Saccharomyces cerevisiae S288C: one gene and its partner. The protein of the gene in region 2 binds, or shares a complex with, the protein of the main gene of each other region. Each region holds a gene or a part of one and is shown on either strand. Other genes may lie near its edges. A codon is read from its position in the direction of its gene.

Region 1 (5,266 bases), on a different chromosome or scaffold from region 2:
GAAAGTAAGTGATTACGAAAGTCAACAAAAAAATGAGTATGCAGATTGAAATAAAGGATGGAAGGAGTGATAACTCTCCTCTGCCCGAAAGAAAACTAGTTACGTTAATTCAAGAAAGTTATGATAGTTTAAAAGATGACAATGAAATCAATTTATCGACCGAATCAACTTCCAACCTTCTTATAAAACTGGTCCTAGAAAAACTTGAAAAGCACTCTTCTTTGTATAAATATATTGCCTCGGTAACGACGTTGAACATTGAAGGACTCAACGAAGAAAACGCTAATTTCTCATTGAAGAACGATATAGGCGCATCCTGGGAATCTAAAAAAGATGGTATATTCAACTATAAACTAGAAGACAAAAATAATAATGAGTGCTATTTAATTACAATTCTTTGGCTTCACAAGTAGATATGTATTTGCTTTAATGTTGCCACATAAAGTTGCGTTCCTTTATAGAACAATGTTGCCTAGACCCCATTTCGGGGCAGGGGGGAATCTGTATCATGGCCTTCTTACAAGGACAGCTTAAAATGTTCATGTTAAATTATTCGACTTTTTTTATGTATATATGCAAAGTAGAAAAATAATTAGTAAACATATATAGGTACCTTTTAGCTTGGCATTAGAATGGAAACCAATTTTTTTATCAGAGAAAACAAAAGAAAATATAAATTACACCTCGAAGTAAACACCCAAATTTTGATAAATAGAATTGAAGAAATAAAAACTTAGCCCTCATTAACCCGAACACATTTCACAAGCTTCTGGGTTATCAATAGCACATGCTATAACCTTAGAGTTGTAAATGTCGAACTCGGTTTCCTCATCATCAACGATGGGGGCAGCTTTTTCTTCATTCTTAGTTGGGGCAGGTACTTCAGGAACTTCTACCTTAGACTCTTGAACGTTTAATTCTGCCATTCCTTTAGTTAATGAGTGGCTACCTGTTGGAGCTGGAGATGCCTCTCTTGAAGCTTCCGAGGAGCTATCTAGAGATGGAATAGTTGCGTTTGCAGTCACAGCTGCGGGCACGAAATCGCTGGCAGCGTAGCTTGCACTGGAAGGCATATATGATGGACGCTTCAAGTTGGAAATATCAGCAACGTTTTCTGTAGCTTGATCCGCAATCTTCTGATCAATAGTAAATTGAATTGCAGCAGATGCAGCTTGGGTTCTCAAATAGTACATACCGGTCTTCAATCCCTTCTTCCATCCGTAAAAATGCATACTTGTTAGTTTACCCATAGTTGGGGCACGTAAGAACAAATTCAAAGAATGAGATTGATCAATATAGACAGAACGATCGGCTGCCATGTTAATGATAGTCTTTTGTGAAATTTCCCAAACAGTCTTGTATAAGTCCTTCAATTCTTGTGGAACGTTTGGTAAGCCTTGAATGGAGCCATTTTGTGTAATCAGATACTGTTTCATACCCTCATCCCAAATACCTAAATCAACCAAGTCACGCAGTAAGTAAGGGTTCACAACCTGGAATTCACCGGATAAGACACGACGGGAGTACATATTGGAAGTGACTGGTTCGAAACATTCATTATAACCCAATATTTGGGATGTGGATGCAGTAGGCATTGGTGCCATGGTCAAGGAATTTCTAACACCATGCTTCATGATATCTTTTCTTAAGGTGTCCCAATCCCACATGCCGTAGGGTTTTTGGTCCCACATATCAAACTGTAGTATACCTTGAGAAGCAGGAGATCCTTGGAAAGTTTCGTATGGACCGTCCTTCTGAGCTAGTTCACAAGAAGCTTCCATGGAGGCATGATAAATAGTTTCAAAGATTTGGATATTTAGCAAACGGGCTTCCTCAGAATCAAATGGCAAACGTAACAGCATGAAAGTGTCAGCGAGACCTTGAACACCCAAAGCAATTGGTCTATGTCTCATATTGGATTTTCTCGCTTCTTCAACAGGGTAGTAATTACGATCAATGACTCTGTTTAAATTACGAGTAACAACTTTAGCAATTTCATGTAATTTTTTGAAGTTGTATGTGGAAGTCTTACCATCCTCAGAAGTTTCAATGAATGCTGGTAAGGCAACGGAAGCCAAGTTACAAACAGCAGTTTCATCTGGAGCTGAGTATTCAACAATTTCACAGCATAAGTTTGATGACTTGATGACACCTAAGTTTTTTTGATTAGATTTTCTGTTACAAGCATCCTTGTAAACAACGAAAGGTGTACCAGTTTCAGTTTGAGCTTCCAAAATGGAATACCATAATTTTTGGGCTTTGATAGTCTTACCACGACCTTCTTTCTCGTAGCGGGTATATAGAGCCTCAAACTCGTCACCGTAACAATCGCTTAAACCAGGAGCTGATGTTGGAGAGAATAATGTCCAGGTCCCATTTTCTTCGACACGCTTCATGAAAAGATCAGGAATCCATAGAGCAGGGAACAAATCTCTTGCACGAATTTCCTCTTTACCGTGGTTCTTCCTAATATCAATAAAATCAAATATATCAGCATGCCATGGTTCCAGGTAAAGGGCAAACGCACCAGGTCTTTTATTACCACCCTGGTCAACATAACGGGCAGTGTTATTGAAAACACGAATCATAGGAATTAAACCGTTAGAAGTACCGTTTGTACCAGCAATGTAAGAACCAGTTGAACGAATGTTATGGATATGTAGACCAATACCACCAGCAGTTTTGGAAATCAAAGCACATTCCTTCAAGGTGTCGTAAATCCCCTCGATAGAGTCCTCCTTCATGGCAACCAAGAAACAAGAGGACATTTGAGGTTTTGGAGTACCGGCATTGAACAACGTTGGAGAGGCGTGAGTAAAATATTTTAGAGACATCAAGTTATACGTTTCTAAAGCAGCCTCGATATCTCTACCGTGGATGCCTAGTGCGACTCTCATAATTAAATGTTGTGGACGTTCGGCCACTTGACCGTTGATTCTTAGTAAATAAGAACGTTCCAAAGTTTTAAAACCAAAATAACTGTACTGAAAATCTCTGTCATAGACAATTGCGGAGTTCAATTTATCCTTGTTTTCCATGACAATATTGTAGACATCATCAGAGATCATGGGAGCGGGCTTACCAGTAGCAGCATTGACGTATCTATAAAGATCTTCGACAACCTTAGAAAATTGTTTTGTGGTTTGTTTATGTAAATTAGAAATGGCAATTCTGGCCGCTAGGGTGGCGTAATCTGGATGAACAGTAGTCATATAAGCGCATGTTTCAGCGGCTAAGTTGTCTAGTTCGATTGTTGTGACACCTTCATAGACACCAGAAATGATACGTTGGGTGACCTTAACGGCGTCGATATGTTTTGGATCTAAACCATAGCATAAGCGTGATATACGAGCGGTAATCTTATCGAATTGGACAGGTTCTTTACGACCGTCTCTTTTATAAACGTACATGATGTTAATATATCAACAAATAAAGTGTTGTTCGTTGGTGTCTCTCTTGCGTTGAAAAGGATGAAAAGGATGAGATATGCTTCAATTATGGTAGAGTAATTTTCCAACAATGAAATATTAGCTCCTTTATATAATTTTTATTCAATGGTACTGACTTAACAAAGGCAACAAGATAAACTCTAAACTTGTTATTCTAAAACGTGAGCTGCAGACTTTGTTGGAGGTTTCTATCAAACACGAAACTACCTACGCCAACCTATTCTTTCTACACTATATGAAAAAAATTTCCATATCGTTTTTACGCGTCCTCTATTCAACACCCAATAAGATTCTGCAAGGATTTCTGTGTCCTGAGGATCAAAATGACGCGTTTACTTAGAATTTCAAAAAAAGAAGCAATTAAAGTAACAGAGGATGAACTTACCCGACACTGTTTACGCGTTTTTTCTTTTTAAATTTGATTTGGGTGCCATATAATGGGATAAAACGCGTAAACAAGCTCGTTCCAGGGCTACGAAATATTTCTACCCAGAAGTGGTCGTAAAATAATTAACGATAGTAAACAAAGGCCATAGAAAGTTCAGCATTGACTTGGTAACGAGATTTTCCCCAATGGAATTCCTTTGTATGAAAGATTCTCCTGAAGAGTAATTCTGCCAATCAGTACATTTCTATGGTAACGCCTTTGTTTACGATATCCAAATGCGGCAATCCTTCTCTGTTGTGGTGATGTCGTGATACCATAAAGTGGTATTATAATTTTGGATGTAAGGAGATCAAAGATCTTGAAATCAATAATTATTCTTATGGCTACTCAAAATCAATACATGAGAAGCACTATTTTTAGACCATGTCCTACTTCGTTATTTAATGGATATATATATATTTATATATTTATATACGTTAATGTCTCATGTGACTGAGCTGCAGATCTACTATACACAGTGATCAGACACCAATAATTTTATTTTCAGGGATACCAGCATACTCTCCATAACCCATAGCAAGATTAATATTTTGCAGACATTGAGTAGCGGCGCCTTTAAGTAAGTTATCGATGGTTGCGCAAACAACTACACGATCTTCAGCATCATTCAGCTTGAAACCACCAATAACTACACCATGGGTGCCCTCAATATCTTTAACCAGTGGGATATCATCGATGACATGTACTAGCTTTTCGTCTTCGTAAAAATTTCTGTATAATTTCCTGATCTCATCAATAGACAAGGAACCTTTTTTTATTGGAATAGAGACGGTCAAAGAGATACCTTGAAACCACTGCCCAACATGGGGCATGAATGCAACATTGTGCCCAATGCGAGCTGAGATTTCGCGTTCGTGTATATGATCACTTAAAGCGTAAGGAATTAAGTTATTGTTCAAGAATTTGGGATCGTTTTTTGGAGAAGGCTTCGTCCCCGCGCCTGAATACCCTGAAACACCAAACACAGTTGGAAGACCATTGATATACTTTGTTAACGGAGAAATAGTTAATTGCGAACCAGTAGCATAACAACCGGGATTAGCAATTTTGGCAGCGTTTGCAATTTTTGCTCTATCATTCAATTCTGGCAAACCGTAAGCCCAGTCTGATTCTGATACAAACCTGTGATCAGCGGACAGATCAATAATTTTAGACTTACCATGAACACTTTGGATTGTCTCAACGAAAGGTTCACAGACTTTGTTGGGTAATGCCATAACCCAAAAGTCCACAGCATTTTGTTCTTCCAGTTTCCTAATATCCTGTATTTGCAAACTTTCATATATAATTTCGGATTTTGTATAATCTTGCAACTTTTGACCTTTCAATTCACGAGAAGAAACATGGGCCACTTCTAAATATGGGTGGC
Region 2 (3,682 bases):
TCTTCATCGTCGTTAAATTCCACGTCACCTTCCATAACGTGACCATATTGGCAGGTTCTTCTCCCATCAATGATACGCCAAAGCCGTGAGGGGCAGTTGTCTGTACCGCAGATGGGACCTCTTATGAAAGTAGACATCCTTAAGTGATGTAGGGGTATGTCCGAGTAGTTCGTTCAACTATTTTTAAAGACACATCGTTCCAGGTTTATATTCATATACATATGTATGTATTGTATAGGTTTTTTTATTTTTTATTTTTTATTTTTTTTTTTTTTTTTTTCAATTTTTTTAAGCTTTTCTTACTTTTCCGATGCCCTTTCCACTTTAATCAATATACGTATGAAATTCAGCCGAAGTTTCCGTTTGATAATATATTAGATTCAATATAAAAAAAAGTTTATATGATTCAGTGTATATATATATATATAAATAAGAGGTGCGAAAGCCCACATAAAGAGATTGAAGAGACTGCGTAAAAAGAAATATATAGAGAGATACTCTTAAAAGTCTTCGTTGAAGGTGAAAGCACCGGCTTCTTGCTTAGTCGACTTGGACATAACACCAGCCTTTTGGTAGTCAGAAACTCTCTTTTCGAAGAAGTTGGTCTTACCGGCCAAGGAGATGTTTTCCATGAAATCGAAGGGGTTTTCGACCTTGTAGTATTTCTTGTTACCGAAAGCAACCAACAGTCTGTCGGCGACGAACTCAACGTATTGGTTCATTAAGTCAGCGTTCATACCTAGCAAAGCAACTGGTAAGGCGTCCAAGAAGTATCTTTGTTCAATTTCCACAGCCTCGGTGACAATTTTTTCAACAATGGCTGGGTCTGGTTTGTTCTTCAAATGGGCGAACAACAAGCATGCAAAGTCGGTGTGCAAACCTTCGTCTCTACAGATCAATTCGTTGGAAAAGGTTAAACCGGGCATCATACCTCTCTTTTTCAACCAGAAAATGGAGGCAAAGGAACCGGAGAAAAAGACACCTTCAATGGAGGCAAAGGCAACTAGTCTTTCACCAAACAAGGCGTCAGCGTCTTGAATCCATCTTAAAGCCCATTCGGCCTTCTCACCGATTTCTGGGATGGTGTGAATGGCATTGAACAAGAATTCACTTTCTTTAGGGTCCTTGATGTAAGTATCGATCAACAAGGAGTAAGTTTCAGAGTGAATATTTTCAATCATGATTTGGAAACCGTAGAAACTCTTTGCCTCTGGAATTTGGACTTCGGTGGAGAAGTTTTCAACCAAGTTTTCATTAACAATACCGTCAGAAGCGGCGAAAAAGGCAAGAACTCTGGAAATGAAAAATCTCTCGTTTTCGTTCATTCTGTTGTTCCAGTCATGGATATCCTTAGACAAATCAATTTCTTCAGCGGTCCAGAAAGAAGCTTCGGCACGCTTGTAGGCTTGCCAGATTTCATGGTACTTGATAGGGAAAAGAACAGTTCTCTCCTTGTCTTCATTCAACAAAGGTTCCTCCTTTTCCATTTCCTTAAGTTTGTGACGGTGAACTTGATGAGATTTCAAGTAAGCCTTGTGATTTTCAGCGTCCTTGCTCAATTTCTCCTTAAGCATGTCTGACTTTACTCTGTTTTCCTCTCTCAATGTCTCCAATTCCTTGTTAAGGTTGGACTTGGAATCTTTGATTTCCAAGTCGGACAATGCATCGGCAGCAGCTTTGGAAGGGGTCTCTTTAGGCATGGTAATTGGACAAATAAATACGTGTATTAAGTTTGGATTCTTTGGTAGATAGCCAATCGAGGGAACAATTAAAAAAAAGAAAGAAATAAAAGACAAGAAGAAGAGCGAAAAAGGGGAAAGTGATGAGGAAAAGAACAATAGATAGATCCAGAAGATGATGGTAACGCGCAAACACTACCGCTATATATACCTACAAAACTCTCATTCTCTCATTTCCTGCTTCGTTCATTTCGAGTTTCCAAGGGTATGGTACGGTGCTATCTGCCCGTGCTTCCCCTCCTTTGCTTTGCTAAGAAAAATTTTCTTTTGTCAGCAGCAACAACACGCTACGCTCTGCGCTGTGCTACGAAGTGGTCTCTGTGGCAACGGGGACATTGTACCCATGCCCGCTCGCAGGGAGGTCTGGGTGTGGGGCGTGTGCGACCTCGTTGCCATGGCGATCGCGCGTGGGTGTGGTCTTTCCCCAAACGGTTGCCCGTTGCTCCGGATTTCGCATAGTTGTCGCGTAAACAAAAAACACGAGAGAGGGCGGACGGCGCTGAATAGTGGAAGATCGCGCGATGTCAAGTAAATAAGCTTGTATTTGTATTTGTATGTGTTTATGTGTTTGTGTGGTTGAGAATTTTATTTTCCTCCTAGTTTTTTCTTTTTTGAGTGCGGAGGGGCAGTGCTCTAAACTTTGCCTGCTTCTTGTTCGACTTCGGCTTCCTATGCAGAACGCAAAATCGCGTGCGCGAGGAACGAGGAAGACAACGCTTTAGATTGGCTTTTTCGTCGCCCATGCCCGTTGCGATAGCGATATGATGAGAAATCGATAAAAGGTTGCACCAGTACACCGCACTTTCTGGCGTGCTTGGATCTGGCTTGCGCGGCCTCGTGCCAGTAAGTAGAAAAGTAGTAATATGGCATGGCGAAAGAGAACAAAACAAGCAAAGCAAGCGTAATGCACAGCTGTGGCTAAAAAAAGAGCACAGAGGTGAAGGGAAAAAAAGATAAAGAAATTAAGGAGGTTGAGAGGGCTTGTGTGTCGATGCTTGGTGAGGCGGGACGTAACGGTTTTTTGTCTGTAGGCACTTCTACCCCACAGGGCCATGAATCTGGCCCGAAACCGTTGCGAGCGTGCCAATTGGTGGTGATATCTTTTTTCTTCCCTTTTTTTTTGTTTTCCGTTCTGTTATGTTCCTTCATCTTGAATTCACTAAAGGGAACAGAAGAAAAAGTTGGATATTAGATAAGCGGTACTTTTCTACAGGTCTAGTATTATTCCTCGGTTGGAACAAGAAATAGTGCTTCAGTAGCTCAGTAGGAAGAGCGTCAGTCTCATAATCTGAAGGTCGAGAGTTCGAACCTCCCCTGGAGCATATTTTTATACGTATATCTTTTTTCCCTCTATTTTGTTTTTTTTTTCTTTGTTTTTTCGTAGCTAGTAAAGAAGAGAAGGAGACCTAAAGTGTATATATACTTAATCTGCGATCATTGAAAAGTCGCTAGCTTATTGTCACTTACTGCATTTTCACAACATCTTCCATTTTTGTTTTCTCAGAAGGACAATGCTGGAAGGTACGGTAGATTATGACCCGCTGGAAGATATTACCAATATACTTTTTTCAAAAGAATCCCTGAACAACATAGATGAACTGATCAGTATTACCAGAAGCTACAAAAAGCAATTGCAAGAGGATATTCTCAAAGAAGAGAATGAATTGAAGGAACACCCTAAAAATTCCGCTGAAATAGAGGCTTCTCTGAGGAAAGTTTTCCAAGATTTCAAAGAAACTCAAGATGTCTCAGCCTCCACCGAGTTGACGATATCGAATCTGACAGAAGGTATCTCGTACCTGGACATTGCCAAGAAAAACCTCACCCACTCTTTGACTCTTTTCCAAAATTTAAAGATATTGACAGACAGTTACATACAATGCAATGAATTACTCTCACAGGGCTCATTCAAAAAAATGGTGTCCCCTTATAAGATAATGTGT

The links.
Region 1: the proteins of RNR2 (region 2) and RNR1 are in contact, whole or in part, in a crystal structure (PDB 2CVY), measured with the Saccharomyces cerevisiae proteins. Residues at the interface, in NP_012508.1 of Saccharomyces cerevisiae: Phe393 (codon at 524), Thr394 (codon at 521), Phe395 (codon at 518), Asn396 (codon at 515), Glu397 (codon at 512), Asp398 (codon at 509), Phe399 (codon at 506); in NP_010993.1 of Saccharomyces cerevisiae: Val342 (codon at 2,387), Glu343 (codon at 2,384), Gln386 (codon at 2,255), Trp389 (codon at 2,246), Tyr390 (codon at 2,243), Leu393 (codon at 2,234), Ser691 (codon at 1,340), Gln692 (codon at 1,337), Lys693 (codon at 1,334), Ile696 (codon at 1,325), Met721 (codon at 1,250), Gly722 (codon at 1,247), Lys723 (codon at 1,244), Thr725 (codon at 1,238), Ser726 (codon at 1,235), Met727 (codon at 1,232), Phe729 (codon at 1,226), Tyr730 (codon at 1,223).

Annotation. Positions count from the first base shown.
Region 1 is NC_001137.3:297,094-302,359, reverse strand, and holds RNR1 (ribonucleotide-diphosphate reductase subunit RNR1), read right to left. Parts: upstream 3,411-5,266; coding exon 744-3,410; downstream 1-743. Other genes in the region: TDA2 (Tda2p), read left to right, coding at 33-413; ARG56 (bifunctional acetylglutamate kinase/N-acetyl-gamma-glutamyl-phosphate reductase), read right to left, coding at 4,359-5,266.
Region 2 is NC_001142.9:390,422-394,103, reverse strand, and holds RNR2 (ribonucleotide-diphosphate reductase subunit RNR2), read right to left. Parts: upstream 1,701-3,682; coding exon 501-1,700; downstream 1-500. Other genes in the region: RRN7 (Rrn7p), read right to left, coding at 1-137; YJL027C (uncharacterized protein), read left to right, coding at 1,855-2,271; YJL028W (uncharacterized protein), read right to left, coding at 2,458-2,793; VPS53 (Vps53p), read left to right, coding at 3,251-3,682. UniProt on the Saccharomyces cerevisiae protein: Provides the precursors necessary for DNA synthesis. Catalyzes the biosynthesis of deoxyribonucleotides from the corresponding ribonucleotides. RNR2 provides the diiron-tyrosyl radical center.